Linked DNA regions of Stegostoma tigrinum. The protein of the gene in region 2 purifies or fractionates together with the protein of the main gene of each other region. This does not show direct contact. Links are inferred from orthologs where the notes say so. Each region holds a gene or a part of one and is shown on either strand. Other genes may lie near its edges. The genes, in order: ras-related protein Rab-7a, gdi2, rab10 and ras-related protein Rab-8B.

The links.
Region 1: the proteins of gdi2 (region 2) and ras-related protein Rab-7a purify together in Homo sapiens (affinity purification with mass spectrometry; 3 studies listed by BioGRID and IntAct, with this or other methods). This does not show direct contact. The link is inferred for Stegostoma tigrinum from reciprocal best matches to the Homo sapiens genes GDI2 and RAB7A.
Region 3: the proteins of gdi2 (region 2) and rab10 purify together in Homo sapiens (co-immunoprecipitation; 3 studies listed by BioGRID and IntAct, with this or other methods). This does not show direct contact. The link is inferred for Stegostoma tigrinum from reciprocal best matches to the Homo sapiens genes GDI2 and RAB10.
Region 4: the proteins of gdi2 (region 2) and ras-related protein Rab-8B purify together in Homo sapiens (affinity purification with mass spectrometry; 3 studies listed by BioGRID and IntAct, with this or other methods). This does not show direct contact. The link is inferred for Stegostoma tigrinum from reciprocal best matches to the Homo sapiens genes GDI2 and RAB8B.

What each region holds. Positions count from the first base shown.
Region 1 is NC_081364.1:4,089,372-4,097,155, forward strand, and holds the start of ras-related protein Rab-7a, read right to left. Parts: upstream 3,001-7,784; 5' UTR 2,834-3,000; intron 1-2,833.
Region 2 is NC_081378.1:11,740,249-11,747,116, forward strand, and holds the start of gdi2 (rab GDP dissociation inhibitor beta), read right to left. Parts: upstream 3,020-6,868; 5' UTR 2,888-3,019; coding exon 2,843-2,887; intron 1-2,842. UniProt on the Homo sapiens protein: GDP-dissociation inhibitor preventing the GDP to GTP exchange of most Rab proteins. By keeping these small GTPases in their inactive GDP-bound form regulates intracellular membrane trafficking.
Region 3 is NC_081357.1:131,665,549-131,672,448, reverse strand, and holds the start of rab10 (ras-related protein Rab-10), read right to left. Parts: upstream 3,015-6,900; 5' UTR 2,698-3,014; coding exon 2,571-2,697; intron 1-2,570. UniProt on the Homo sapiens protein: The small GTPases Rab are key regulators of intracellular membrane trafficking, from the formation of transport vesicles to their fusion with membranes.
Region 4 is NC_081389.1:9,828,654-9,835,992, reverse strand, and holds the start of ras-related protein Rab-8B, read right to left. Parts: upstream 3,013-7,339; 5' UTR 2,977-3,012; coding exon 2,853-2,976; intron 1-2,852. UniProt on the Homo sapiens protein: The small GTPases Rab are key regulators of intracellular membrane trafficking, from the formation of transport vesicles to their fusion with membranes.

The DNA.
Region 1 (7,784 bases), on a different chromosome or scaffold from region 2:
AGGTGTGGTGGGGCTAGAGGGGAGTGTGGACCTGACAAGGGAGTCACAGACAGTGGTCCCCCTGAAAAACAGATCAGAGTAGGGATGGATGAATGTCTTTGGTGCTGGGGGTCAACTGCAGATGGCAGAAGTGGAGGATGATGTGTTGGATTTGGAGCTTGGTGGGGTGGTACATGAGGACAAGGGTGATTCTCTTTTGGCAGTTATTGCAGGGACAGGGTGTGGTGGGGGGATGAGTTACAGGAAACGTGGTCAACAGTGTTAGAGACTACTGCAAGGGGAGGGGGGGTTGCAGTCCTTAAAGGGATCAGGTGTACAGGAGTGGAATGCCTCATCCTGGGAGCAGATGTGGCAGAGGTTTAGGAATTGGGAAAGGGATGGAATTTTTACAGGAAGGTGGTGTATTCTAGGTAGCTGTGGAAGTCAGTGTGCTTGAAATGGATATCAGTTTCTAGGTGATGCCTGAAATGGAGACATAGGTCCAGGAAGATTTTGGGGGGGGGGGGGAAGAAGAGAAGAGAAGGATCAATGTGTTGGAGATGGCCCAGGTGAACTTAAGGTTGGGGTGGAAGGTGTTGGTGAAGTGGATGAACTGTTTGAGCTCCTCAAGGCACAAGGCAGCACCAATGCAGGCAGTCAGTCAGTGTAATGGAGGATGAAGTGGGGTTTAGGGCTAGTGTAGGTACAGAAGAGGGATTGTTCCACATAACCTACAAAGAGGCAGGCATAGCTTGGGCCCATGTGGGTACCCATGGCCACCCCCTTTGTCTGTAGGGGGTGGGAGGAATCAAGAAGTTGAGGGGAGGACAAGTTTGACTAGATGGCGGGGGGGGGGGGGGGAAGAAGGAGGAGGAGAGGAGACTGGTCAGGCCTGTGGGACAGGAAGCAGAGGGCCTTCAGGCCATCTGCATGGGGAATGCCAGTGTACAGGGACTGGACATCCATGGTGAAAGTCAGGTATCCAACTCACTTTCTCATGAAGGGTCTAGGCCCAAAACATCAGTTTGTGCTCCTCAGCCTGCTGTGTTCATCCAGCTCTACACCTTGTCATCTTGTCGTCTCCAGCATCTGCAGTTCCCATTACTGCACTTTCAATATTACAGCTCATTAAGTCCCATGTTGCTCCCTGACCTAAACATTCCAATAACAAAAAGGACCCAGTTCTGAAAAACCCACCAGTAAGCTGAGCAATTGGTCCCTAACTAAAAACACCCTGCCACTAGATTACACAACCTCAAACTTGAGGAAACATTATTCCATAATCTCTTCACAGAAGAGATCCCAGGCAGAGCAGCAATACAGTTACACTTAGTAAACCATACACTTAATCACTGACAATTTCTACATTGGAAAAAGAATCTGAGTAGGTCTAAAGTATTTAGATTGAAAAAGACAAGCTAGCACATGTAAAAAGGAGGAGTCATTTTATCATGTCATAGGATGCAGCACCACATATGCCCAAAGGGGGCAGTTCACAAGAAAACACCCTTGGCAACATCTGAAGTTTATATAAATAAAGTGTTCATGTCTGTTTTTCAGGAGTGCAATGACAAGTCATGTGTTTCATCAGCTGTAAGAATCACGAGGAGCAGGTTTCTTGGACTTCGAGAAAAGCAACAATTTACAAACTCAACCACCCACCACCTCTCTCCCCCAACCCCCCCATTGGACAGAAACTACATCATGATACCTGTTTCACAACAATGCAGTTCACAGTTAGATCATTTGGCTGTCCATCATACAGACAGCTCAGGCAAGTCGCATTTTTAAATGCGCGTTGACGAGAAACTAGATCAAAATAAGACACTACAACTGGAGTGGTGCTGTGGCATTAAGCCTCGTTTGCTCTAGTTAGGAAAGTATTACTGAAGAAACAAGCGTCTTAGAAACCCTATTTTACTCGCAAACAAAAATCAAATCACTCGATTTATTACAGAGCTTCCTGAACAACAAGCCTTGAAACTGGCAAACAATGCCACAACATACTTTTATCTGCAACATTAAATAGAAACATGAAAATTTTAGCGATATTAAAAGTGAAACCAGCTCAAAGAGCTTAGTCACCCCGAAGACTAGAGACAAAGGAGCCAGGTTTGAAGTTTCCACAGGCTCTCCACATATACAACACAGCAGCGACGGCTCAAAACAAGCGTCACTTGTCGTTGGAAGGGGGGGTTAATAGCGTTCTCGAAAGAGCCCAGACAGCTACGTGAAAATCTAGTGTTAGCCCTAGCTTTAGGGAAAGCCGCTCACAACAATATAAAAGATGCATCCCACTGAAATTAAAAAATCCACACAAAATCTAAGCGGAAAAATGCGAAGCCAGCATTTAAAAAACACATTTGAAGAGAACTGAAAGCAAGTGTAACACGTACACCGTGTCATTCAGTAATTATACTGCGTTTTGCGCTGCACAGGTTATTAAATTAGAAAGAGAAAGGAGGGGAACAACTCCCCAGCGGGATGCTAATGTATATTTGATGTAGCACAGATGCTACTTCGCCAGGACTGCCAGGGCCTGAAGGGGTGCGAGTTCCTGTCACTCGCAGGGGTGTTGCCAAGGGGCCCGGGGGCAGTTGCTAGGGCTCACCGCTTTCCCCACACGCTGGGGCATCAAGCACGGGGGGTGTCGTTGCTAGGAAGAGCCCGGGGACGGTTGCTAGGGAAGGGTGCGCGCAGGGCCGGGAGCGCGGCCGCTGGGCGGACCCTGGGCCCTGTGTGTCTCTCTCCGAGATCGAGGCCTCCGTTGTTTCTCTCCTTCCTCCTCTCCCAAAAGCGCTTTACACCCGCGGGCAGAGCGGCCTACCAGTACCCGGCACCGAGTCAGACTCACCTGAAAGGGCAAGGGAGGTTGAGAAAAGTCAGCTGCGCGGCCTACTGCCGGTCTTGCTCGGTAAGTCACTGGCTTGGCTGGGCCGGGCCGCTCCTAGCTGTCGAAGCTTTGCCTCCGACTCCCCGCTTATCACCCGCACCCTGCGTCTGATGTCACCGCGTATTACGTTTCGGCGTATGGCGTCACCCCCGCAGGACCGCCCGCTGCGTGACTGCCATGTGGGGGGTGGGGGCGGGTTCGAGTACGACCAACCTTGCCGGGTCCTAGCGCCTGCCAAACGCGGGACACGTTACTGTTGAGGGGGAGGCTGGGGAGTCGAGTGTGATCTTAAGACAGGTCTTAAGGATTTAAACCATTGAAACGGGCTGGGGAGTGTTGATAGTAAAACAGAGATTTGTGGATGCTAAAGATCCGAAACAGAAACAGTAAGTGTTGGAGAAACTCAGCTGTTCTGGCAGCATTGGAGTCCAGAGAACGTTTTTCAGAACTGAAGTTGCTGAGTTTCTCCAGCAATATCTGTAATTGTTCCAGACTTCCATCATCCGTGGTTCTTTGTTGCATTTTAGGACCTTGATGACCTTAGACAGTTTGGGAGTTAAATTCACACTGATTAGTGCAACACAAAGCAGCTGTCCAGCCAACTGAGCTGAGTGCTGGAGAACCTCAACAGGGCTGGCAGCACTTTTGGAGAGAGAAACGGTGTTAACATTTCAAACCTAGTATGATTTCTTCAGAACTAAAGTAACATTCAAGGTTACAGGCCAAGTGCTGAAAAATGGGATTAGAATTGATTGGTGTTTGATGACCAGTGTGGACGAAATGGGCCCAAGGGCCTCTATCGGTGCTGTCAAAACGCCATTATTCTAGGTTCAGCAAACGGGAAGGCATACGGTATGCTGACCTCCATGGATGAGGATTTTGGTTCAGAAGTACGAATGACTTACAGGGCCTACGTGAGACCACATCTGGAGTATTGAATGCAGTTGTGTCTCCATAACTACTAAAGAATAGCGGGAATGCGCAAAAGGTTCACCAGGCTGATACCAGGGTTAGCAAGTCTGTCCTGTGAGGAGAGATGACTCAACTAGGCCTGTTGTCACTGCAGTTTAGAAAAATGAGAGGGAATCTGATTGCTAAAATTCTAACAGGGCTAGAAAGACCAGATGCAGGGAGAATGTTTCCCCTGTTTGGGGAGTCTAGAACTACAAGCACAGTTTGGGAGTGAGATGGGGAAAAATTTCTTCACTCAAAGAATGGTCAGCCTGTGGAATTTTCTACCACAGAATGCTTTCGAGGCGAATTCAGTGAATATTTCAAGAAAGAGATGGATACATTTTTAGATTTTAAATGCTTCAAAGGATGTGGGGAGAAAGCAGGAACATGGTATTTAGGATCAGCCATGATCATATTAAATGGCAGAGCAGACTTGAAGGGCTGAATGGCTTACTCCTGCTCCTCGTGACCATGCTTTTATCCATCCCTCCCACCCTGGTTATAATCTCTTCCAAGCTTTTCTGTAAGGCAGAAGATACAGAAGTTTAAACACATGTACCAACAGGTTTATGAAAAGCTTCTTCCCTGTTGCTATTTGGCTGCTGCACAGACCTCTCAAGTTTCACATCTAATGTTAATCTTGCTTTTGTACACTTCCTGTGCAACCATAACTGTGTACACCTCCGTGTATTCAATCTCCCTATGATCTGTATGTCTTTGTATGTTATGATCTGCCAGTTCTGCATGCAAAGCAAAACTTCTCACTGTACTTAGGTACATGTGACAGCAATAAATCAGATCGAAGGTTACAGTTGGTGTGTGGAAGAGGGATAAGAAGTGGGACTGGCTAAGGTAATGTAAGGAGAAGCAGGCTTAGAGGGGGATTTGTGAAAAATGCTTTTCACTGAGAGCATGTAGATATCTGGAACTCACTAATGGTCCTGGGCGAAAACCAGAAAAAGGGATTTAGCTGGCTGGCTCCTTTCCCACTTATATCACCTCAAAAGAGACTTCATTGGCTGTAAGTTTTTTTGAGTACTTTAGTGGATGTGAAAGGTGCTGTTTGTTAGGATGTATAAGTTTGTGAATGATTAGAATTGGAATATGGACATGCATGGACATTTCTGGATTACAAAGGATTTATAATGTGACTATTTAGAACTAGGAAGGAAAAGAGCCAACGGAGGCAATGATTCAGCAAAGAACTGCGGACACTAGGGATGTGAAACATACTCAGAAAATGCTGGAGAAACTCAGCAGGCCTGGTGGCATCTTTGATGAGAGAAACAGAGTTAATGTTTCAAATCCAGCGAATCTCCTTCAGCATCTGGGAAAGTGTTACTTATTTTGATGACAGGGCTTGAGTGAGGCTGGCGGGTTCGGCGTGAGCAAGTTGGAAGGAGTGATCGGAGATAATGGGAACTGAAGCCGCAAAACAATCCGACCCCAACACCAAAGACATTTTTCCATCCCCACCCTTGTCTGCCTTCCGGAGAGACCACTCTCTCCATGACTCCCTTGTTCGCTCCACACTGCCCTCCAACCCCACCACACCCGGCACCTTCCCCTGCAACCACAGGAAGTGCTACACTTGCCCCCACACCTCCCCCCTCACCCCTATCCCAGGCCCCAAGATGACATTCCACATTAAGCAGAGGTTTACCTGCACATCTGCCAATGTGTTATACTGTATCCGCTGTACCCGGTGTGGCTTCCTCTACATTGGGGAAACCAAGCAGAGGCTTGGAGACCGCTTTGCAGAACACCTCCGCTCGGTTCGCAACAAACAACTGCACCTCCCAGTCACGAACCATTTCCACTCCCCCTCCCATTCTTTAGATGACATGTCCATCACGGGCCTCCTGCAGTGCCACAATGATGCCACCCGAAGGTTGCAGGAACAGCAACTCATATTCAGCTTGGGAACCCTGCAGCCCAATGGTATCAATGTGGACTTCACCAGCTTCAAAATCTCCCCTTCCCCCACTTCATCCCAAAACTAGCCCAGCTCGTCCCCTCCCCCCACTGCATCCCAAAACCAGACCAGCTTGTCCCCGCCTCCCTAACCTGTTCTTCCTCTCACCTATCCCCTCCTCCCACTTCAAGCCGCACCTCCATTTCCTACTTACTAACCTCATCCCGCCCCCTCGACCTGTCCATCCTCCCCGGACTGACCTACCCCCTCCCTACCTCCCCACCTATACTCTCCTCTCCACCTATCTTCTCCTCTATCCATCTTCAATCCACCTCCCCCTCTCTCCCTATTTATTTCAGAATCCTCTCCCCATCCCCCATCACAAGGAAGAGGTATTAGAAATCCTTCAGAGGGTGAAGATAGATAAGTCCCCTGGGCCGGATGAGATTTATCCTCAGATCCTCTGGGAAGCCAGGGAGGAGATTGCTGAGCCTTTGGCATTGAACTTTAACTCGTGATTGTCTACAGGACTAGTGCCAGATGACTGGAGGATAGCAAATGTGGTTCCCCTGTTCAAGAAGGGGAGTAGAGACAACCCTGGTAATTATAGACCAGTGAGCCTTACGTCAGTTGTTGGTAAAGTGTTGGAAAAGGTTATAAGGGATTGGATTTATAATCATCTAGAAAAGAATAAACTGATTAGGGATAATCAGCACGCTTTTGTGAAGGGAAGGTCGTGCCTCACAAACCTTATTGACTTCTTTGAGAAGGTGACCAAACAGGTAGATGAGATTAAACCGGTTGATGTGACGTACATGGATTTCAGCAAGGCATTCAATAAGGTTCCCCACAATAGGCTATTGTGCAAAATGCGGAGGAATGGAATTGTGGGAGATATAGCAGTTTGGATCAGAAATTGGCTTGCTGAAAGAAGACAGAGGGTAGTAGTTGATGGGAAATGTTCATCCTGGAGATCAGTTACTAGTGGTGTACCACAAGGGTCGGTGTTGGGTCCACTGCTGTTTGTCATTTTTATAAATGACCTGGATGAGGGCGTAGAAGGATGGGTTAATAAATTTGCAGACGACACTAAGGTCGGTGGAGTTGTGGATAGTGACGAAGGATGCTGTAGGTTGCAGAGAGACATAGATAAGCTGCAGAGCTGGGCTGAGAGGTGGCAAATGGAGTTTAATGCAGACAAGTGTGAGGTGATGCACTTTGGTAGGAGTAACCGGAAGGCAAAGTACAGGGCTAATAGTAAGATTCTTGGTGGTGTAGATGAGCAGAGAGATCTCGGTGTCCATGTAGACAGATCCTTGAAAGTTGCCACCCAGGGTGACAGGGCTGTTAAGAAGGCATACAGTGTTTTAGCTTTTATTAATAGAGGGATCGAGTTCCGGAACCAAGAGGTTATGGGAGGGGGAGTGGAAATGGTTCGCAACTGGGAGGTGCAATTGTTTGTTGCGAACCGAGCGGAGGTGTTCTGCACAGCGGTCCCCAAGCCTCCGCTTGGTTTCCCCAATGTAGAGGAGCTGTACAAAACTCTGGTGCAGCCGCACTTGGAGTATTGTGTACAGTTCTGGTCACCGCATTATAAGAAGGATGTGGAAGCTTTGGAAAGGGTGCAGAGGAGATTTACTAGGATGTTGCCTGGTATGGAGGGAAGGTCTTAGGAGGAAAGGCTGAGGGACTTGAGGCTGTTTTCATTAGAGAGAAGAAGGTTGAGAGGTGACTTAATTGAAACATATAAAATAATCAGAGGGTTAGATAGCGTGGATAGGGAGAGCCCTATTCCCAGGATGGTGACAGCGAGCACAAGGGGGCATAGCTTTAATTTGAGGGGTGAAAGATATAGGACAGATGTCAGAGGTAGTTTCTTTACTCAGAGAGTAGTAAGGGAATGGAACGCTTTGCCTGCAACGGTAGTAGATTCGCCATCTTTAGGTACATTTAAGTCGTCATTGGATAAGCATATGGACGTACATGGAATAGTGTAGGCTAGATGGGCTTGTGATCGGTATGACAGGTCGGCACAACATCGAG
Region 2 (6,868 bases):
CTGGGCAAACCGGGATGGGCAATAATTGCTGCCTACCTAGCAATGCCCTCCTCCTGTTAATGAATTTTTAAAAATCCTAAATTAATCTAGTCCTATCTGCCAGCACTTGGCCCATATTCCTCTAAACCCTTCCTACTCATGTACCCATCCAGTTGCCTATTTAACATTGTAATTGCACCAGCCTCCACCACTTCCTCTAGCTGGCGTGCAAATGTTGGTTAACCCAGCAGTATCCTTGGATTTCAACAATAACATGGAGAAGTAAAAAGTAACTTAAACCCACAAAGATCCAAGTTACAAATTAAATCAAACATCTTACCCAGTTTTGCAGATTAACAGAATAATCTATTTATCACAATTTTTTTGGGAGGTTAAGTCACGTTAGAATACAATTGTGAAACCATTTCATACCAATGTGCTCTAACATAATCACTGCAAGTCTCAATTCAAAGCAGAACTGAGAGCTGGGTGGCTCAGACTTCCATAATTAAATCATATCATCGGCACTATTTATTTGCTTGTTATCCAACAGACTGAATCACATTGCTTTTCACTTCCACTTATGACAGATTTACTCGGTGCACGTTGGGTAGTGGCACTGCACAACATTAAGAGCGTTGAATTGGTTACCAGATTTTTGTTAAATATAGTCCTATCTGTTCCACTTTCTTTCCCAGGTGGAAGTCTCAATTCAGTGGCAGCATCCAAAGAGGTCAGGAGTCATGGATCCAAACCCCATTCAGAAGCCAAAAAAGTCTAGGTACACTATAAATGTGAGGATTCTACACTGTCTTTCAAATGAAATATGAAATTCAGACCCATCTGCTGAGAGATGGGTAAGGCGTTGTTTTCTTGATGTCCTAACCAATATATATATATTCCTCAACTAACAAGTTGATTACCATTTGTAGGGTCTTCTAGTGCAAACTGGCAGCTGTGCTTCCCTACATTATCACAGTGACCACATTTCAAAGTGTAATTGGCTGTGATGCACCTTGGGATAATATGAAGTTATAAATAGTGGTATTTAACAGGTTTCTTTTCCTTCTTTCCTATACAAGAGGCCTTGGCTCAGATAACTACTGACTTAATGACCAAGTTAACAAAGGATTGGCAGACAGACATTCTTCACCACGAAAAAGGAGGAACAGCCTAAGATGATAAAATTGAAAGAAAGAAAAAAGTTCCATTTGAGCACAAAGACCTTTTCCAGCTAGACCACAAACTTAAATTTACTTCCACGTCCTGAGCCAAGTCATTTCTTTCACGTTATTCAAGAGAAAAAAAGGGTCTTTTTCAGATTTTATACAGCTGTTTTCAATTACAAAACAGAAGCCAAAACAAGAGAATCAAAGACAAATTAAACAGAAGTTTTTTTAAAGAATTTTGAAAATGTTTTCTATAACATGCAAAGGAAAGGCAGAAGGAACGATAGTTGCAAGGCGAGTATTCAACTGAGGGGAACAAATTGTAAAAGGTGACGTGCAACCTAGATTTTAGGCTTATTTCAGAAAAACAGGTCCAACGTTCTGTTACGTAACTACATCAATTGCTGACCCTCTCCAAACACACTGATCAAAAAAATCTGTATCATGAGAATTTAGTTCATACACAAAACAAGTCATTTCTAGTCTCAATGAAGTGGTAGTATATAATTAACATTGAGTGGCATAGGTAGCACAGTTTTGAGAAGATTTGTAGCTCAGGTTGAGGTTCTGGATGAGAGTTTGCTCACTGAGCTGTAAGGTTGATGACGAAACATCTGAAAACTAACCTTACAGCTCAGCGAGCAAACTCTCATCCATAGGTAGCACATTTACTTGCACAATAGTATCACCCTAGGTGACCAGAAAAAACAAATGGTGATATTGCCCCAATTTGGATTGAGAGAGACTTAAAGACAAATTTACATTATATCTGTTGCCTTTTCTACATTGATAGTGGAGGCCACAAACTTAAAACATGCTGTTGAAGTACCCTTGGTGCTGCTGTACTACATCATATACATAGCACAGACTGTTGAATATTGATGGGATGTTGGTCAAATTAGCTTTGTTCTGGATGATCTCGAGTTCCTCGAGAGTTGTTGGAGAAGCTACACCTATCTAGACAAGGGGGAGTATTTCATCACACTCCTGATACGTGTCTTGCAAGCTGTGGGCAGATCGCTGGGAATCAGGAGGTATTGCCCTGTAAAAGCTTCCAAGCCTTCACAGCGGTCACGGAGAAAGCATTCTAGACATCTTTATAGTGACCAAAACAAGAAAAAATAAAATACATACACCGCTGGACATGCTCAGTATCTGAAAATAGTGTCAGCATTTTAATTGTGGCATTTTCTCCCCCCCCCCACCAGAGCATTTCAGCTGCTGCCGAATAATCGACCATTTTGTTCTGAATTTCAGCAGCCGCAGCACCTTGCTAATGCTGAAAATTATATATTGCTCGGATTTTGTTTTTCATAAGTCAAAGAACTCCCATCGCCAACCACTTTCCCGACCTTAAGCATCAGCAAAGCACAAACTTCCGGTGTCCAAAAGGGAAGAGAAAAACCCGCCAACCTTGCGATAGCAAAAGGATAAAGACTCTCCCGTGGAGGAGAAATAGGTGAGCGAATTCAGTGGGAAAGAAAACTCCTACTCCTACTCCCCTCCCCTACCGGGGACTGGTCCTTTGGCCTAACTCTCTCCATCTCCGTCCTCCTTCCAAACCCAACCCCCTCCTCTCCCTGACTCAGCGAGACGCGGAGATGGGGAGAGGCCCAAGGCCTAGGCAGTCGACCTCACCCCTCGCCGCCCAACGCTCACAAAGCATCGGGCCTCAAAACCAAGAGCAAACTCACCGTGAGACCAGTGCCCAGCACGATCACATCGTATTCCTCATTCATCTTCAGCGATGGCGGTTAGTTCCTTTTGACTTCAGGGAAAGAGACAAGGCGGCGAACTACGATCTGGAACAATCTCTGCTTCGGCTCCTCTTCCCCCGTCCCTGAAGTAGGCGCATGCGCACTACCCGCCCTTTGAAGGGGCGGGAAAAACTACAAGGCGGAGAGCAACGTCAACGCGCATGTGCACAACTCCCCGCCAGCTCGCGACCTCGCCTGAGGGCCGTTCACGCATGCGCGGTGTTTGTGCTGTCGAGGATCGCTCCTGCCCAGAACCGTCAACCACCTCAGCTCCAAATGCAGCATTTTTTTCCGGGTGGGGGAGGGGTGGACAGGGTGTGGTTGCGCAGGCGCAGTGGGGTTCCCGCCGCTGCAGGTTCGCCGTGTGTGGCCGAATGCCTGGCGGTTGGAAGTGACTAGTAGCCACGGAGTACGTCCGCTGCCTCCATCTCCTTAAAGGAAGCGATAAAACCGCAGTCAGACTCCGTCTTTAGGCGAATACAGAAATGTTACCATGGATTTAAAAGTGTGTGGCTCTCCTGCTGTGTTAACTGACTCCCCATTCATCATCTCCACAAGGCAGTTTAGGTCTGTTCTGGAGGACTGTGGGATACTGGAATCGAAACGTCAACTGTTTTCCTTTTTCCACAGATGCTGCCAGGCCTGCTGAGTTTCTCCAGCAATTTCTATTCTTCTTTTAGGAATGCTGTTCACATGGGAGATTCAGGACACTAATTGAGAAGGTATTTGGAATGCTTTGCCGACAGCGAGGAAATTATGATGGAGCTGTACGACGTGATAGGCCACTGCTGGACTAATGGTGGCTGATAAGCTCAGATGTTTAGTGAGTGATGCTAAGAACATCAAAGTATTGGCTTCAGTTCCCACACTGAACAACATTACCAGCATCCATGCCAGACTCACTTTAAATGCCATAACATTCAAGACTTTGGGCCCAGAGCTGGATAGTGGGACCAGAGTATATTTAGCATAGTTTTGGCAATAGCCTCAGTGGGCCTTTTTTCTTCTCAGTCATTCTGTACTGTGCACAGTTCTGGTGACCACATTATAGGAAGATTGCAATCGCACTAGAGCAGGTGCAAAGGAGATTTGCCAGGATAGTGCCTGGGATTCAACTGTGAAGAGAGACACCAGATAAGTTGGGTTGTATTCTTTTGAGCAGAGACAGTTAAAGGGATACCTGATTGAGGTATACGAGTTATGTGGAGCATAGAAAGGGTGCATAGGAAGAAACTTTTCCCTTTGATGGAGGCATCAAAGAATACAAAAGTACGGGCCAAGTAGTGAAATGTGGGAATGGAGTAGATAAGTACTTGATGACTGCTGTAGACATGATAGGCTTAAAAGCCTCTGTCCATGCTGTAAAATCCTTATGACTATACAGGGAAATATGGCCTGTTTGCTTGGTAACCCATCCACCATATTGAGCATCAACTACTTTCACCATTAAGGCTCAGTGCCACTATGTGTATCTTATTTAAGTTTTGTGTTGCAACAATTCACCAAAGCACCTTCCAAGCCTGCATCTCTATCATTTAAAAGGACAAGGGCAGCAGATGTGTGGCAACACCGTTACTTGCAACTTCCCCTCTAAACCACAAACCACTATAATTTGGAGCTGTCATCATCTTTCATTCACCTTTGCTGCAAAATCCTGGAACTTCCTGACCAGCAACATTATGGGTGTACTTACATCCTAAGCAATTCAAAAAGATCACTTACTACCTTATCAAGGGCATTTGGAAATGGACAATATATTTTGGCCTGTCAATGTTGCCCACATTCCATGAAAGAATTAAAAAGAATGCTTATGTTTAATGCAGTTGATGTGGTGTACATGAACATCCAAAAGACATTTGATATAAAGCTGCCCAACAGATTTACAGGCAAAATTGATGTCAGTGGACTATAAAGGGACTGTAGCAATGTGAATACAAAATTAGCAGAGGAAGCAAAGACTAGTAATAAATATTTGTTTCTTGAACTGGAGCAAGTAACATAATGGAGGACCCCAGGAACAGTTATTTTAATTTCTTTAAAATTCATTCACAAGATGAGAGTGTCACTGAGGGCATCAGTGTTTAGACTCTTAGTTTTCCTGGTATACATTAACGATCCAGATCCTGGTGTTTGGGCATAATTTCAATATTTACAGATAACAAAAAATCAGGGAAGTGTTGTGAAGAATCATGTAGAACTTTAAAGGGATGTAAAATCTTCCACATTAGACAGATGTTCACCTGCACATCTGCTAATGTGGTATATTGTATCCGCTGTTCAAGGTGCAGCCTCCATTACATCGGGGAAACCAAGCGGAGGCTTGAGACCGCTTTGTGGAGCACCTATGCTCGGTTTGTGACAAACGACAACTCCCTCTCCCACTCCTTAGATGATACGTCCATCCTGGGCTGCCTCCAATTCCACAACGATGGCACCCGAAGGCTGGAGGAGCAGCACCTCATATGGGAACCCTGCAGCCCAGTGGTCTCAATGTGGACTTCACAAGTCTTCTTCAAAATGTCCCCACCCCTGACCTCATCTGAAGACGGGCCCATCTCGTCACCAACCCAACCCCAACTTCCTACCCACTAGCCTCATCCCTGCCTCCTTGACCTGTCCATCGTCCCTCCCACCTATCCGCCCTTCTCTCCTCATTGACCAACCCCCATCCTAACTCCCTACCTACACGCACCTGTACTGGCTTTATCCCCACCTCCTTGACCTGTCCGTCTTCTCTCCACCTATCCGCTCCTCTATCCACCTTCTATTATCGCCTCCCCCTCTCTCTAGTTATTTCCCCTTCCTTTCTGAAGAAGGGTCCAGACCCAAAACGTCAGCTTTCTGCTCATTTGATGCTGCCTGGCCTACTGTGTTCATCCAACTATACACCTTGTTATCTCAGACTCCAGCATCGGCAGTTCCTGCTACCTCTTTAAAGGGATGTAGTCAGGTTGGTGGATTGGGCTAGCAAATTAGCAGATTAAATTTAATACAGAGAAGTGTGAAGTGATTCATTTTGGTGGGAAGAATGAGGAGAGGCGATATAAACTATAAGGTACAATTCTAAAGGGATGCAGGAACAGAGAAACTTTGCAAAATAGGTGCACAAATTATTGTACATGACAGGAGAAGTTAAAAACCTGGTTATAAGGGCAGAGATAACAAAGTGTGGAGCTGGATGAACACAGCAGGCCAAGTAGCATTTTAGGAGCACAAAAACTGACGATTCGGGCCAAGACCCTTCATCAGAAAAGGGGGATGGGGAGAGGATTCTGAAATAAATAGGGAGCGAGGGGGAGGCAGATCGAAGATGGATAGAGGAGAAGATAGGTGGAGAGGAGAGTATGGGTGGGGAGGTGGGGAGGTGGGGAGGGGATAGGTCAGTCTGGGGAGGATGGACAGGTCAAGGGGGCAGGACGAGGGTAGTGGGTAGGAAATGGAGGTGCGGCCTGAGGTGGGAGGAGAGGAAGCAGGCGGGGATGAGCTGGGCTGGTTTTGGGATGCAGTGTTGGGAGGGGAGATTTTGAAGCTGGTGAAATCCACATTGATACCATTGGGCTGCAGGGTTCCCAAGCGGAATATGAGTTGCTGTTCCTGCAACCTACGGGTGGCATCATTATGGCACTGCAGGAGGCCCAGGATGGACATGTCGTCTAAGGAATGTGACAGGGAGTTGAAATGGTTCGCGACTGGGAGGTGCAGCTGTTTATTGCGAACCGAGCGTAGGTGTGCTGCAAAGCGGTGCCGAAGCCTCCGCTTGGTTTCCCCAATGTAGAGGAAGCCACAACGGGTACAGCAGATGCAGTACACCACGTTGGCGCATGTGCAGGTGAACATCTGCTTGATGTGGAAAGTCATCTAGGGGCCTGGGGTGTGGGTAAAGGAGGAGGTGTGGGGCCAGGTGTCTCACTTCGTGCGATTGCGGGGGAAAGCGCTGGGTGTGGTGGGGTTGGAGGGGAGTGT
Region 3 (6,900 bases), on a different chromosome or scaffold from region 2:
CTGGGTGTCTTGGTTCAGAGGTCTCACCATCTTTAATAGTAATTTAAATGACATGAAGAAATCCAAGCTTGCTAGAAAATGGATGGGTATAAGTAAAAATTACAAAGGATATCAATTAATTCAATAGGCAAAACAGTGGCAAATGGACTTCATGTTGGCAAACAAATTTCAACATAGCCTAACATGAACTCTCACTTTTGACCTGTAAACATACTTCATTTTTTTAAAAAATAGTTAAAAGCTAGAAATGACAGATCTAAAGACACTGACAGGTCCAGAAAATAACTAGAAAGGCTAATAGGATGCTGGCCTTCAAATCTAATGCAAACTTCAACACAAAGGAACAGAAGTCATGCTACAGCTATACAAAGCCCTAGTTAAATCACATGTGAGGCACAACAAGCAATCTGGACACTAAACCCCCAAAAAAATTTACTAGCTAAAAGAAACTATTGTTTGATGAGCCTAGGAAGAGGTGGGAGAATCAAAAACTAGAACCAGACCTTTCAGGAATAAAATTAGGAAATATTTTCTCACACAAAAGCTTGCAAATGCTTGAAATTCTCTTCTGCCATTCTAGGTCAATTGTTAATTCTAAATTTAAGACTGAAAGCTTAGGTTAATAAAGTCCAGCAACGGACATAGCACCAGATCCCTGATCAACCATGATTTCATTCAGAGTCCGAAGAGGCACAAGGAGCTAAATAGCAAACTGTGGAAATGATTTATAGTACTTTGTTTGCAACTGACCACACCCACAACCAAATTAACAACTGAGCTATGGTAACTAGACTGTATCCAACAAGAATTTATCACTTCCTCTGATTAGGCCATGTTAGTTAACTGAGAAGTTAAAATGCAAACTATATTTAAATGAAACATATTTATTAAAAAATATAACAACTTGGGAAATTTTCAGCAGCCTTCATATTTATATGTACAGATTCAGAGATTAAATCTCCAGTCATACTATGACTTTTTAGCTACCTGACCTTTTCTCAACCAACTGTCCTAAACAGGTTTAAAAGAAATTAATTGTCAATAAACTAATCCTTTTGTTTAAAATGAAAGCACATTTAAAAACAGGAAGAGAATCAGCAATAAACTACTCAGTCTCTCGAGTCTGCTTAATCACTGAACTAATGATCTCCAGCAATGCAATTTTCCCACAGAATCTTCTTATCCCTTTGTCTTCAACAACCTAAAAATCTACTGACCTCAGTCTCAAACACACTCCAAATAAATCATCACATCCTCTTGGCTAGAGAATTTCAAAGATTCACAACTCAGAGCTAGGAAATCTCACCTCATCTCAGCCCTATCTGGTCTACCTCTTATTCTGAGACTGTGTCACCTGGTTTTAGACAACGTCAGCTGAAAGAAACATCCTTCCTACATTTATCTTGACAAGTTCTTAAAGAACCTTCAATTAAGTCACTTTTCATTCCTTTAAACCTAATGATAATAGGCCTCGTCATTACTTAGACAATCATAAAATCCCAGCAATTAATTTGGCAAATCAGTTTTGTTCTCTCTCTCTCTCACTGGCAAGTACATCCTTCCTTTGGAAGAGACCAGAACTGTACACAATGCTACTCCAGGTGCACTGCCATCAAGATTCCAAAAACTGGCAGCAAAATCTTTTTGGTCCTGAACTAAAATGCTCTCACATTAAGGTCAATATACTACTTGCCTTCCTAACAACGTGCTCTGTGACTTTTGCACATCAGCACTTCCTAGTCTCCCATAATTTTAAGAGATTTTATATTCCATTTACCACGTTTTTATTCATTCACATAGCCTGCCTGAATCTCCCTTTTGCATCTTTCCATCCTCGTCACAATACACATTCCCATCATGTTTTGTAGTATCTGCAAACTTGGAAATGTTACATATAGTCCCCACACCCAAATTCTTGAAACATATGATGAACAATTAGGACCTGGCAATAGAGCACACCAGTGACAACCGCCCAACCTAAGAACAGGCGATTTTTCTGACTGTTTCTCCTTCCCGTAACCAATTTTCGAACCAGAACGCTTTATGTATAGTGCTGTTGTAAAGTAGAAAAACGCTCAAATTAGAAGCCCTAAAACCATTTAAAACGATTTCCAAAAGGCCAAGATACCATTAACCAAGTTTAGCATAAAAACGGCAGCTTGGTTTTAAAATGCAATCGGCGCTTCAGAAAGCAATGACAAACCATACTGGCACAAAACACAGTTTATACACACTAAAAAAAACAAACGAAATGATCCAAATGGTGTTTCTGGACAAATATCAACCTCAGCAGGTTTAACTGCACATCCTGCCACCATGAGCAGAAGAAATGTTGAGGGACACATACGTTTTCAGTTTTTTTCAAAAAACCTAAAACTCCCCCTGGCCGAGGCTTCACTACATTACACTGGACAATCCTGTTATTTATACAACAAAAAAAACTGTAAGATCAGGCGCAAGGCCCAAACTGTGGTTCGGACATCCGCCCAGAGCCCCCACCCAAGACAGCGGCAGCTGAACAGGCCTGGGCCTGGGCCGGAGGCACTGACCGCCCTCTCTCCCTCACTTACCTATTGTGGAGATAAAAGTGGTATTAAAGGCGTCATCCGAGAACCTAAAAAGCACACAGGTTTTCCCCACTCCGGAGTCTCCGATCAGCAGCAACTTGAAGAGTAAATCGTAGGTTTTTTTCGCCATAATCCCTCCCTTCCTTAGGTTGATGAGCTGGGGCGAGGAGTGTTCTTATTTTTATAATTAAAAAAAGGAACAAAATGGCGCCTCTCTAGCTCTTTCACTTTAACAGCGTTCCGGCCGCAACAAGTTAGATGCCATGAATTTCCATTGATCTGCCTTGTTCAAAACAAAATAAAAATTGGCACACGGGCCGGTAACCGTGCCCTTAGTTAAACTTTCTTTTTTCTTTCTCCCTTTCTTTTCACTTCGCTAAGACATTCGGGAGCAGCACCACCAATTTCATTCAACGTCGACGTCAGTCTTCGGACAAACCAAACGCAACCACATGGAGGGCATCCACCCAAAACACTGACACCCCCCCCCCTCAAAACCACTCTCCATCAGTGGAATAGTCCGCCCCGCCCACTCAGAACGAAGCGCCCGTTCATTCTCCAAACCACGGAGGGGTGGGGTCTCCACATGTCAATCATCGATCGACAGCCCGCCCGAATGGATGACGTCATGGGGTGATGAGGATCGCCGGCGCGGCGTCAGGACTGTGTGTTCCTTTGGTGAGATAGCTGACGTTATGTATGTATGTGTATATGTCTGTGTGTTTGTCAATGTACAGGTGTGAGCATGTATATGTGTGAATGCATGTCTGCACGTGTGTGTACGTGTAAATGTGCATGAATGCATGTATATATGTGTGTATGCATGTATATGTGATATATATGCATGAACGTTTACATACATATACATTTCTACATGCATGCATCTGTGTACATGTGTATGTATGTGCATATGTATGCATGCATGTGTGCAAGTGTGTGTGTGTGTGTGTGTGTGTGTGTGTATGTATATAAATGCCACCTAGGTGGATAGAGTTGTTAAGAAGGCGTATGGTGTGTTAGCTTTCATTAACAGAGGGATTGAGTTCAAGAGCCATGAAGTTTTGCTCCAGCTATACAAAAGCCTGGTTCAGCCACATCTGGAGTATTGTGTCCAGTTCTGGTCGCCTCATTACAGGAAAGATGTGGATGCATTCAAAATGTTGCTGAGTAGATTTACCAGAATGTTGCCTGGAATGGAGGGAAGGTCTTACGAGGAAAGGTTGAGAGAGATAGGGCTTTTCTCTTTACAACGACAAAGGACGAGAGGTGACTAGATAGAGGTGTACAAAGTGATCAGAGGTATAATAGAGTAGACAACCAGAGATGTTTTCCTAGGTTGTAAGTAGCTTTTACAAGGGGACACAGTTTTAAGGTGAGTGGAGGTAGATACAGGGGAGACGTCAGAGGTAGGCTCTTTACTCAAAGAGTGGTAGGAGTGTGGAATGCTTACATGCGTGTGTGCAAATGTGTGTGTATTTGTGAATGCGTACATGCGTGTGTGCACATGCATTTGTGTATTTGTGAATGCATACATGCATTTGTGCAAACGCATGTGAGTGTTTGTGAATGCGTGCATGCGTGTGTGCAAACACACGTGTGTGTTTGTGAATGCATATATGCGTGTGTGAATGCGTACATGCATGTGTGTGTGAATGCGTACATGCGTGTGTATGAATGCGTACATGCGCATGTGTGCGTGAATGTGTACATGCGTGTGTGTGAATGCGTACGTGTGTGTGTGAATGCGTACGTGTGTGTGTGAATGCGTACGTGCGTGTGAATGCGTACGTGCGTGTGTGTGTGAATACGTACGTGCGTGTGTGTGTGTGAATGCGTACGTGCGTGTGTGTGTGTGAATGCGTACATGCGTGTGTGTGTGAATGTGTACATGCGTGTGTGTGAATGCGTACGTGTGTGTGAATGCATACGTGCATGTGTGTGTGAATGCATACGTGCGTGTGTGTGAATGCGTACGTGCATGTGTGTGTGAATGCGTACGTGCCTGTGTGAATGCGTACATGCGTGTGTGTGTGAATGTGTACATGCATGTGTGTGAATGCGTACGTGTGTGTGTGAATGCGTACGTGCATGTGTGTGTGTGAATGCGTACGTGTGTGTGTGTGAATGCGTACGTGCGTGCGTGTGTGTGTGTGCGTACGTACGTGTGTGTGTGAATGTGTACATATGTGTGTGTGTGAATGTGTACATATGTGTGTGTGTGAATGCGTACGTACGTGTGTGTGTGAATGCGTACGTGTGTGTGAATGCGTACATGCGTGTGTGCGTGTGTGTGAATGTGTACGTGCGTGTGAGTGCGTACGTGCGTTTGAATGCATACGTGTGTGTGTGAATGCGTATATGCGTGTGTGTGTGTGAATGCGTACGTGTGTGTGAATGCGTACATGCGTGTGTGTGTGTAAATTTGTACATGCATGTGTGTGAATGTGTACGTGTGTGTGTGTATGCGTACATGCGTGTGTGTGTGTGAATGCGTACGTGCGTGTGTGTGAATGCGTACGTGCGTGTGTGTGAATGCGTGCGTGCGTGTGTGTGAATGCGTACGTGTGTGTGAATGCGTACACGTGTGTGTGAATGCGTGTGTGTGTGTGTGAATGTGTACATGCGTGTGTGTGAATGCGTACGTGCGTGTGTGTGAATGCGTATGTGTGTGTGAATGCGTACGTGCGTGTGTGTGAATGCGTACGTGTGTGTGTGAATGCGTACGTGTGTGTGTGAATGCGTACGTGCGTGTGTGTGTGAATGCGTACGTATGTGTGTGTGAATGCGTACATGCGTGTGTATGAATGCGTACATGCGCGTGTGTGCGTGAATGTGTACATGCGTGTGTGTGAATGCGTACGTGTGTGTGTGAATGCGTACGTGTGTGTGTGAATGCGTACGTGCGTGTGTGTGTGTGAATGCGTACGTGCGTGTGTGTGTGTGAATGCGTACGTGCGTGTGTGTGTGTGAATGCGTACATGCGTGTGTGTGTGAATGTGTACATGCGTGTGTGTGAATGCGTACGTGTGTGTGAATGCATACGTGCATGTGTGTGTGAATGCATACGTGCGTGTGTGTGAATGCGTACGTGCATGTGTGTGTGAATGCGTACGTGTGTGTGAATGCGTACATGCGTGTGTGTGAATGCGTACGTGCGTGTGAATGCATACGTGTGTGTGTGAATGCGTATATGCGTGTGTGTGTGTGAATGCGTACGTGTGTGTGAATGCGTACATGCGTGTGTGTGTGTAAATTTGTACATGCATGTGTGTGAATGTGTACGTGTGTGTGTGTATGCGTACATGCGTGTGTGTGTGTGAATGCGTACGTGTGTGTGTGAATGCGTACGTGCGTGTGTGTGAATGCGTACGTGCGTGTGTGTGAATGCGTGCGTGCGTGTGTGTGAATGCGTACGTGTGTGTGAATGCGTGCACGTGTGTGTGAATGCGTGTGTGTGTGTATGTGAATGTGTACATGCGTGTGTGTGAATGCGTACGTGCGTGTGTGTGAATGCGTACGTGTGTGAATGCGTACGTGCGTGTGTGTGAATGCGTACGTGCGTGTGTGTGAATGCGTACGTGCGTGTGTGTGAATGCGTACGTGTGTGTGTGTGAATGCGTACGTGTGTGTGTGAATGCGTACGTGTGTGTGTGAATGCGTACGTGCGTGTGTGTGTGAATGCGTACGTATGTGTGTGTGAATGCGTACATGCGTGTGTATGAATGCGTACATGCGCGTGTGTGCGTGAATGTGTACATGCGTGTGTGTGAATGCGTACGTGTGTGTGTGAATGCGTACGTGTGTGTGTGAATGCGTACGTGCGTGTGTGTGTGTGAATGCGTACGTGCGTGTGTGTGTGTGAATGCGTACGTGCGTGTGTGTGTGTTAATGCGTACATGTGTGTGTGTGTGAATGTGTACATGCGTGTGTGTGAATGCGTACGTGTGTGTGAATGCATACGTGCATGTGTGTGTGAATGCATACGTGCGTGTGTGTGAATGCGTACGTGCATGTGTGTGTGAATGCGTACGTGCCTGTGTGAATGCGTACATGCGTGTGTGTGTGAATGTGTACATGCATGTGTGTGAATGCGTACGTGTGTGTGTGAATGTGTACATGCGTGTGTGTGAATGCGTACGTGTGTGTGAATGCATACGTGCATGTGTGTGTGAATGCATACGTGCGTGTGTGTGAATGCGTACGTGCATGTGTGTGTGAATGCGTACGTGTGTGTGAATGCGTACATGCGTGTGTGCGTGTGTGTGAATACGTACGTGCGTGTGAATGCATACGTGTGTGTGTGAATGCGTATATGCGTGTGTGTGTGTGAATG
Region 4 (7,339 bases), on a different chromosome or scaffold from region 2:
CTCCATTTTTCTGGTTTTCACAACAAATTTTTGTTAAGGGTTGTTAAATAAAAAAGTTAATTATGTATAAATAAAGGCAAAAATATAAGATTAACATAGGCACTACTTATAATCAGTGTCTCAGCCATATTAACGACTGCCCTTTAGCCCTGCTCTGCATGCAGATGGTTGGTGGTGGTGAGGGGATGTCCGCTGTTTTGAAAATGCACCTGCAGTTCATTGAAAATGTTTGTTTCGCTTTTTTTTAAAAAGCATCAACTTGATGCAACACTGGAACTACACTACATTCACATCCTGTCTAAAGTCAGGACAAATTTCAGTTCAAATTCACACACAACTTCAGTTATCTGTACAAGCCACAACCACATTGCATGAACATGCTAGAGTTAAATGTAAATGTACCTTAGGAAAAGATCTGAAGTGTGCAGCGAATATACATCATACCTAGCTATAAAGTTCACAGTTGATGTTAGTTTATTCAGTACTCCTAGTAAATATTAAAAGGCTTAACAATATACTGCAGGAGAAACAGTAGGCAAGATAATACAGTAACATATGTTCATTTTGTACTACAATTTTAAATCCATCACCATAAAACACTCACCAGTACCACTACTGGGGCCCCATCTCGACAAACTGACAGGCATTTTTATATTCATTCATGGGACGGGCAATAAATGCTAGACAGCGACACCCTCATTCCATGAACGAATATAAAAATGCCTGTCATCCCATGAGGGTGTCACTATCTAGCATTCATTGCCCATCCCTAATTGCCCAGAGGGCAGTTAAGAGTCTGGAGTCGCATGTAAACTAGACCAGTTCAGGACCTTAGTGATAATGGGAACTGCAGATGCTGGAGAATCCAAGGTAACAAAGTGCGAAGCTGGATGAACACAGCAGATGAAGTCTGACGAAGGGTCTAGGCCCAAAACGTCAGCTTTTGTGCTCCTGAGATGCTGCTTGGCCTGTTGTGTTCATCCAGCTTCACACTTTGTTATCAAGGACCTTAGAGAACCAGTTGGTTTTCTCAGCAATCCACAGTAGATTCACAGTCATCAGGCTCTTAATTCCAGATATTTATTGAATTCAAATTCCACCATCTGCCATGGCAGGAATTGAACCCGGGTCTCCCAGAACATTACCTGGGCCTCTGAATTAATAGTCCAATATTACCAGTAGGCCATTGCCTCCACACTGACCAAGGAATCAACATATGAAAAGATTCTGTAACTATTACACTGCGATCATCTGCTAACATACTCATGTTCTGATTCTAAGCAACCACCAAATCTCTCAAGAGGAAGCACAAATATTTCATTTGAGAAAATCAAAAATGAAAGACCACTTCCGAGAAGCAAATGTCAGTTTTTGTGTTGAAAAAAACAAACAATTTAACTGAGACTTGTATGCAATAGAAAAATGGCATTTTTTCCCAAAAAAGGTGACTGAAGTATTTTTGAATTAGTATAAATTTTCAAAGCTCAGTTGAGACAAGTAGTAATATCTCCACAGGTGTACGAAACAATATTCAATTTGGTTTCAAACATCCTAAGTATGAAGTTTATTTTTGAAACATGCTACAAAATAATATGCTTTTCTGAAAGTAGTTTACTACTGACCAAAGCACTAAAGTATCCACAAATCTGTACAATATTTTAAAACATTTGCAACTTGGGCAAAAAAAACATAACCTGAAACACTGACCTCTAACTTCTAACTCAATTAAATTAGTATTTTTGCTCAATTACATTCCAAAACAAATTTCATTCAGATCTTTACTTCCAAAATTCCAGCAAATATCTGATACTTAATATTCAAGTTTCAAATGTGTCTCAGCAGTAGCTCTCCTGCTCGTACTTTGAAACTGCAGATTCACAGAGTTGTGCCACACAAGAGGTTCTGCTCCACAGAGGCCACCAAGAATCACATAAAGACTCTTTCACCCTATTCAACATCAGGCCAATTTCTGGCATCCCACTGCCTGAACCAAAAGTCTTTTAATTGGGAACTTGCCTTGTTTATAGAGATAGGAGAGAGTGTGGGGTAATAGAAGCAGGGGTTCGGAGGTTGAGGGAGCTGTAGGGAAGAGATGGAAAGGTGGTAGGAAGGAGTAGATTGAGGTGGTTTAGCAGGGAACACGCAAGGGGTCAGAGGGGGTGGAGGGCCATGGGCATCAAGTGGGACAGGGGCAGCTGTGGGGGAGACCTGGGGGTGGAGGCAGGTAAGGGGAAATACAGGAGATGGTAAAATGGGGGGAGGGAAGAAGTGGACAGTCAGAGGGGGAGTGAATAGGGGTGAAAAATGGGGGGGGCGGTAGGGGTGAAAAATGGGGGGGGCGGTAGGGGTGAAAAATGGGGGGGGCGGTGGGGGTGAAAAATGGGGGGGGGGCGGTGGGGGTGAAAAATGGGGGGGGGCGGTGGGGGTGAAAAATGGGGGGGGCGGTGGGGGTGAAAAATGGGGGGGGCGGTGGGGGTGAAAAATGGGGGGGGCGGTGGGGGTGAAAAATGGGGGGGGCGGGGGGGTGAAAAATGGGGGGGGCGGGGGGGGTGAAAAATGGGGGGGGCGGGGGGGTGAAAAATGGGGGGGGCTGGTGGGGGTGAAAAATGGGGGGGGCTGGTGGGGGTGGAAAATGGGGGAATGGGGGGACGGGGGGATAAGATGGGGGTGATGGCGGGGTAGGATGGGGGTGATGGCGGGGTAGGATGGGGATGATGGCGGGGTAGGATGGGGGTGATGGCGGGGTAGGATGGGGGTGGGAGGGGATGAGTTGGGGCGCCCCTAAAGCAAACGGCAGGCCCCGAGATTGGCGCTCTCCCCCCCCCCGATCCCTCCCTCACTGCCGAACTCACCTATGGTGGAGATGAAGGTCGTGTTAAAGGCGTCCTCCGAGAAGCGGAAAAGGAGGCAGGTTTTACCGACGCCGCTGTCGCCGATCAGCAGCAGCTTGAAGAGGTAATCGTACGTCTTGGCCATGGCGGGCGGGAGCTGACTGCAGCCGACGGTGAAACCCAGAACTCTGCGCGTGCGCGGACGCTGGGGGCGGGGCCTCACGCCAATCACATGCTCTACGGCTGATTGGCTTTCGTCCGACGTACGCGGGCGCCGTGCGTGAACGTCAACGCCGCAATGACAACTGGGGATTGTAGTCATTTCTTTCTTCAACTCCTCGTTCCCCAACAGGCGATGGTCTGTAACTACAGATTGTTCTAAATTGGGACAGTTACACTAACGTCAGCAATGTGGACGTGAATCTCATTGATTTCCTGTCTACTCCTCCATGCCCCAAACCACTGCAGTCTCTAAAATAAAGAACTACAGATGCTGGTAATCTGAAACAAAAACAGAAAATTGCTGGAAAAACTCAGCTGGTCTAGCAGCATCTGTAGAGAGAGACAGAATTAAAGTTTGAGTCCAGTAAGCCTACTTCAGAGTGGACTGAAATGTGATCTCTGCTTTCTCTCATTACATTTGCTCCCAGATCTGCTGAATTTTTCCAGTTATTACTTTTAGAATAATTCTTTAATGGGATGTGGGCATCATTGACTGGTTAGCATTTGTTGCCCATCTGTACTTGCTCTTGAATTTAGTGACCTGCTATGTCATTTTCAACATCATTGCTATGTGTCTGGAGTCACATGTAGGCCAGACCAGGTAAGAAGGGCAGATTTCCTTCCCTGTAGGGCATTACTGTACCAAGTAGGTCTTTACAACAATCCTCCACAAGTCTGGGCCCCCTAAGGTAGAGTTCAGCTCCCCAAAATGTAGGATTTAATCACCAAGTAATCTCCCTAACAATTCAGCCTTACTCCATCTGAATTCCCCGGGTATGATAATGTGGGGTAGGTGGTGGCCCAGTGATATTATCGCTAGACTATTAATCCAGACATTCGGATAATGGTCTGGGGACCTGGGATTGAATCTGGCCAAAGCAGATGGTAGAATTTGAATTCAATAATAATCTGGAATTAGGAGTCAAATGATCACCATGAACCCATTACCGATTGTCTAGAAAACCCATCTCATTCTCTAATGTCCTTTAAGTAAGGAAACCTGCCATCCTTACCTGGTCTAGCCAACATGTGACTCCAGACTCACAGCAATGTAGTTGACTCTTAACTGCACCCTGGGCAATTAGGGATGGGAAATAAATGCTGGCCCACCCAGTGATGCCCTCATCCTATGAATGAATTAAAACAAAATAAATTGCACTCTCATGGAATCATCTTAGATTAGTTCACCAGTTTTCAGGCTTGGATTTTTTGCTGGTCCCACCCAACTCTTTGCCACTAGGCCTTTGTATTATAGTACTGCCAAGAACTGAACACTGAGCAACATATATCTGTTTTCCCTTAAGCAATTTTTTTTTGCAGGCTCATTTTCCAGAAATCTACTATCTGAGCCAGGAAATCAGGGCTGCAGGGGCGATTGTACAGTTTGTGTTCTGTCCCAGAAAACCACATGGGGATGAATAGATCTGAACAAATCTTGATGTAATTTTCTGCTTATGTAAAGAAATGCACATTACAAGTTTACACCTCCCTTCCCAACAGTGACACTTTTGGTCTGCATCCAATTATAGTGGACTCAAGTATAGGTCCACCATGAGCAAACCATTACACATATTTAAGATAATCAAATGTGAGGCTGGATGAACACAGCAGGCCAAGCAGCATCTCAGGAGCACAAAAGCTGACGTTTCGGGCCTAGACCCTTCATCAGAGACCTTCATCAGACACATATTTAATATGCTTTGTATCCGGGCTTAAATTCCAGAGAGCTCATAAAGATGGGAGGTGTTCTCATTTTAACATTGAAAGTTCCAATATTCAGCTTTCAGTTCAGGTAAAATACTTTGGATGAAATGCTGTGTCTGAAATATATACGTAAGTTAATGAACATAAACTTTTAAAACATCTGCTAAAGAGATGTTTGTCATTGCGAGAAACTAAAATAACATAGCCAGAAGGATAGGAGATCAAGTTTGACCAAACTTGAAATTTTAGGTGACATTAAACCAAAGTCAATGAGAGAAAATAGAATCAGAGGGAGGTGAGGTGCCCTTTGAGATTCTGGAAAGACCGAGTTAAAATTGTACTTCTGGCTCCTGGTCAAGGAAATGATACGAAATGTTTTAAGTTGTCCTCAAGTTTTGGATACTGGAAAAGCAAGTATAGATAGTGAACTGAGGCTAGTAAACACTGATGTTTTAGGTAGACATAGAGTGAAGGTTGTTCTGTACAATTGCAGAATATCACAGTCTTCTCTATTCCATTGCTTCCCCAGGACTCCTTTGGTTTATTGCTACCAATTTCTGCGAATGAATGGGTGACTGACTGACTGTGTGGCTGAAAGAGTGGATGTGTGAGTGAGTAAGTGAGTGAGTGGCAGTAGATGTATGTAAGTGAGTGAGAGAGAGAATGCAGGCACGAGTGAATGAGTGCGTAAGAGAAACTTGATGTCTGCATTACTCCGACTCTAGTTTCTCATGCATCAACGTCCTTTGATCCATTTTTGTGATTATGTTTTTAGCACATTTTAAGCTCTGGAATTCCATCCCTAAACCTCTCTGCCTCTCTTTCTCCTCCTTTAATGGACAAAACCCTCTTTAAATGCTATCAAAAGCTTTTGACCACCTTAGAATTAGAAATGGAATTAGAATTAACTTTATTGTCACATGTCCTCACATGAGTATAGTGAAAGTTTACAAGTCACCAATTATGGCACCATCTTCAGTACCAAGTACCCAGGTACAGATTATGAAATACAAATTCTTAAGGAAAATTTTAGAAAAATAAAGAAATAAAATGTCCAGCAATAAATAAGAAAAGTAGAGGAATAAGAGGTCAGAATAACAGTCCTTCCAACCCACACCACACCAGGCTTCACCTTGAGGCTGGGAAATCGATTCCGCACTGAGTCCACGTTGAGGCCAGGAGCCTGGGTCCGCGCCGGGGCTGGGCTTCTGGATCCGTGCTGAGGTCATGAGTCTGCACTGGCTTTTACCCTGGATGTCCTTGATGCCACCCAAGAATGCAAGGTGTAAACAGAATGGAAAGAAATGCAAAAATAGTGAGAAAAACAGAAAAGAAGCAGATAGAGTGGATGAGGTCCTGCTCAGGAGTCCTACTCCACTGCCACCCGTCCTGGTATTTGTCACTTTGGCTAATTTCAGCCTGAATACATGCTCATAAAGCAGCATGCAATGCTAACATACATTAAAGTGCTGTATGAATGTCATGTTATTGATAATGATTTAACTGCCAACCAATCATCAAAGATTGATTATATATAACAAAGTGTGAAGCAGGATGAACACAGCAGGCCAAGCAGCATCTTAGGAGCACAAAAGCTGACATTTCGGGTCTAGCCCCTTCATCAGAAAGGGGGGAATGGGGAGAGGATTCTGAAATAAATAGGGAGAGCGGGGGAGACAGACCGAAGATAGATAGAGGAGAAGACAGGTGCAGAGGAGAGTATGGGTGGGGAGGTAGGGAGGGGATAGGTCGGGGGGGTATGGGATGAGGTTAGTAGGTAGGAAATGGAGGTGCGGTTTGAGGTGGGCGGAGGGGATAGGTGAGAGGAAGAACCGGTTAGGAAGGCGGGGACAAGCTGGACTGGTTTTGGGATGCAGTGGGGGGGAGGGAAGATTTTGAAGCTGGTGAAATCCACATTGATACCATTGGGCTGCAGGGTTCCCAAGTGGAATTTGAATTGCTGTTCCTGCAACCTATGGGTGGCATCATTATGGCACTGTAGGAGACCCAGGACGGACATGTCGCTAAAGAATGGCAGGGGGAGTGGGAGGTGCAGTTGTTTATTGCGAACCGAGCGGAGGCGTTCTGCAGAGCGGTCCCCAAGCCTCCGCTTGGTTTCCCCAATGTAGAGGAAGCCACACCGTGTACAGCAGATGCAGTATACCACATTGGCAGATGTGCAGGTGAACATCTGCTTGATGTGGAAAGTCATCTTGGGGCCTGGAATGGAGGTGAGGGAGGAGGTGTGGGGGCAGGGGTAGCAGGTTGCAGGGGAAAGCGCCGGGTGTGGTGGGGTTGGAGGGGAGTGTGGAGCGGTTAAGGGAGTCACAGAGAGAGTGGTCTCTCCGGAAGATAGACAAGGGTGGGGTCGGATTGTGGATGGCGGAACTGTCCGAGGATGATGCGTTGTATCTGGAGGTTGGTGGGGTGGTATGTGAGGGCTGGGAGGATTCTCTTAGGGCAGTTATTGCGAGGGCGGGGTGTGAGGGATGAGGTGCGGGAACTGTGGGAGGCTCGGTTGAGGGCGTTCTCGACCACTGCTGGGAGAGTGTTGCGGCCCTGGAAGAACGAGGACATCTGGG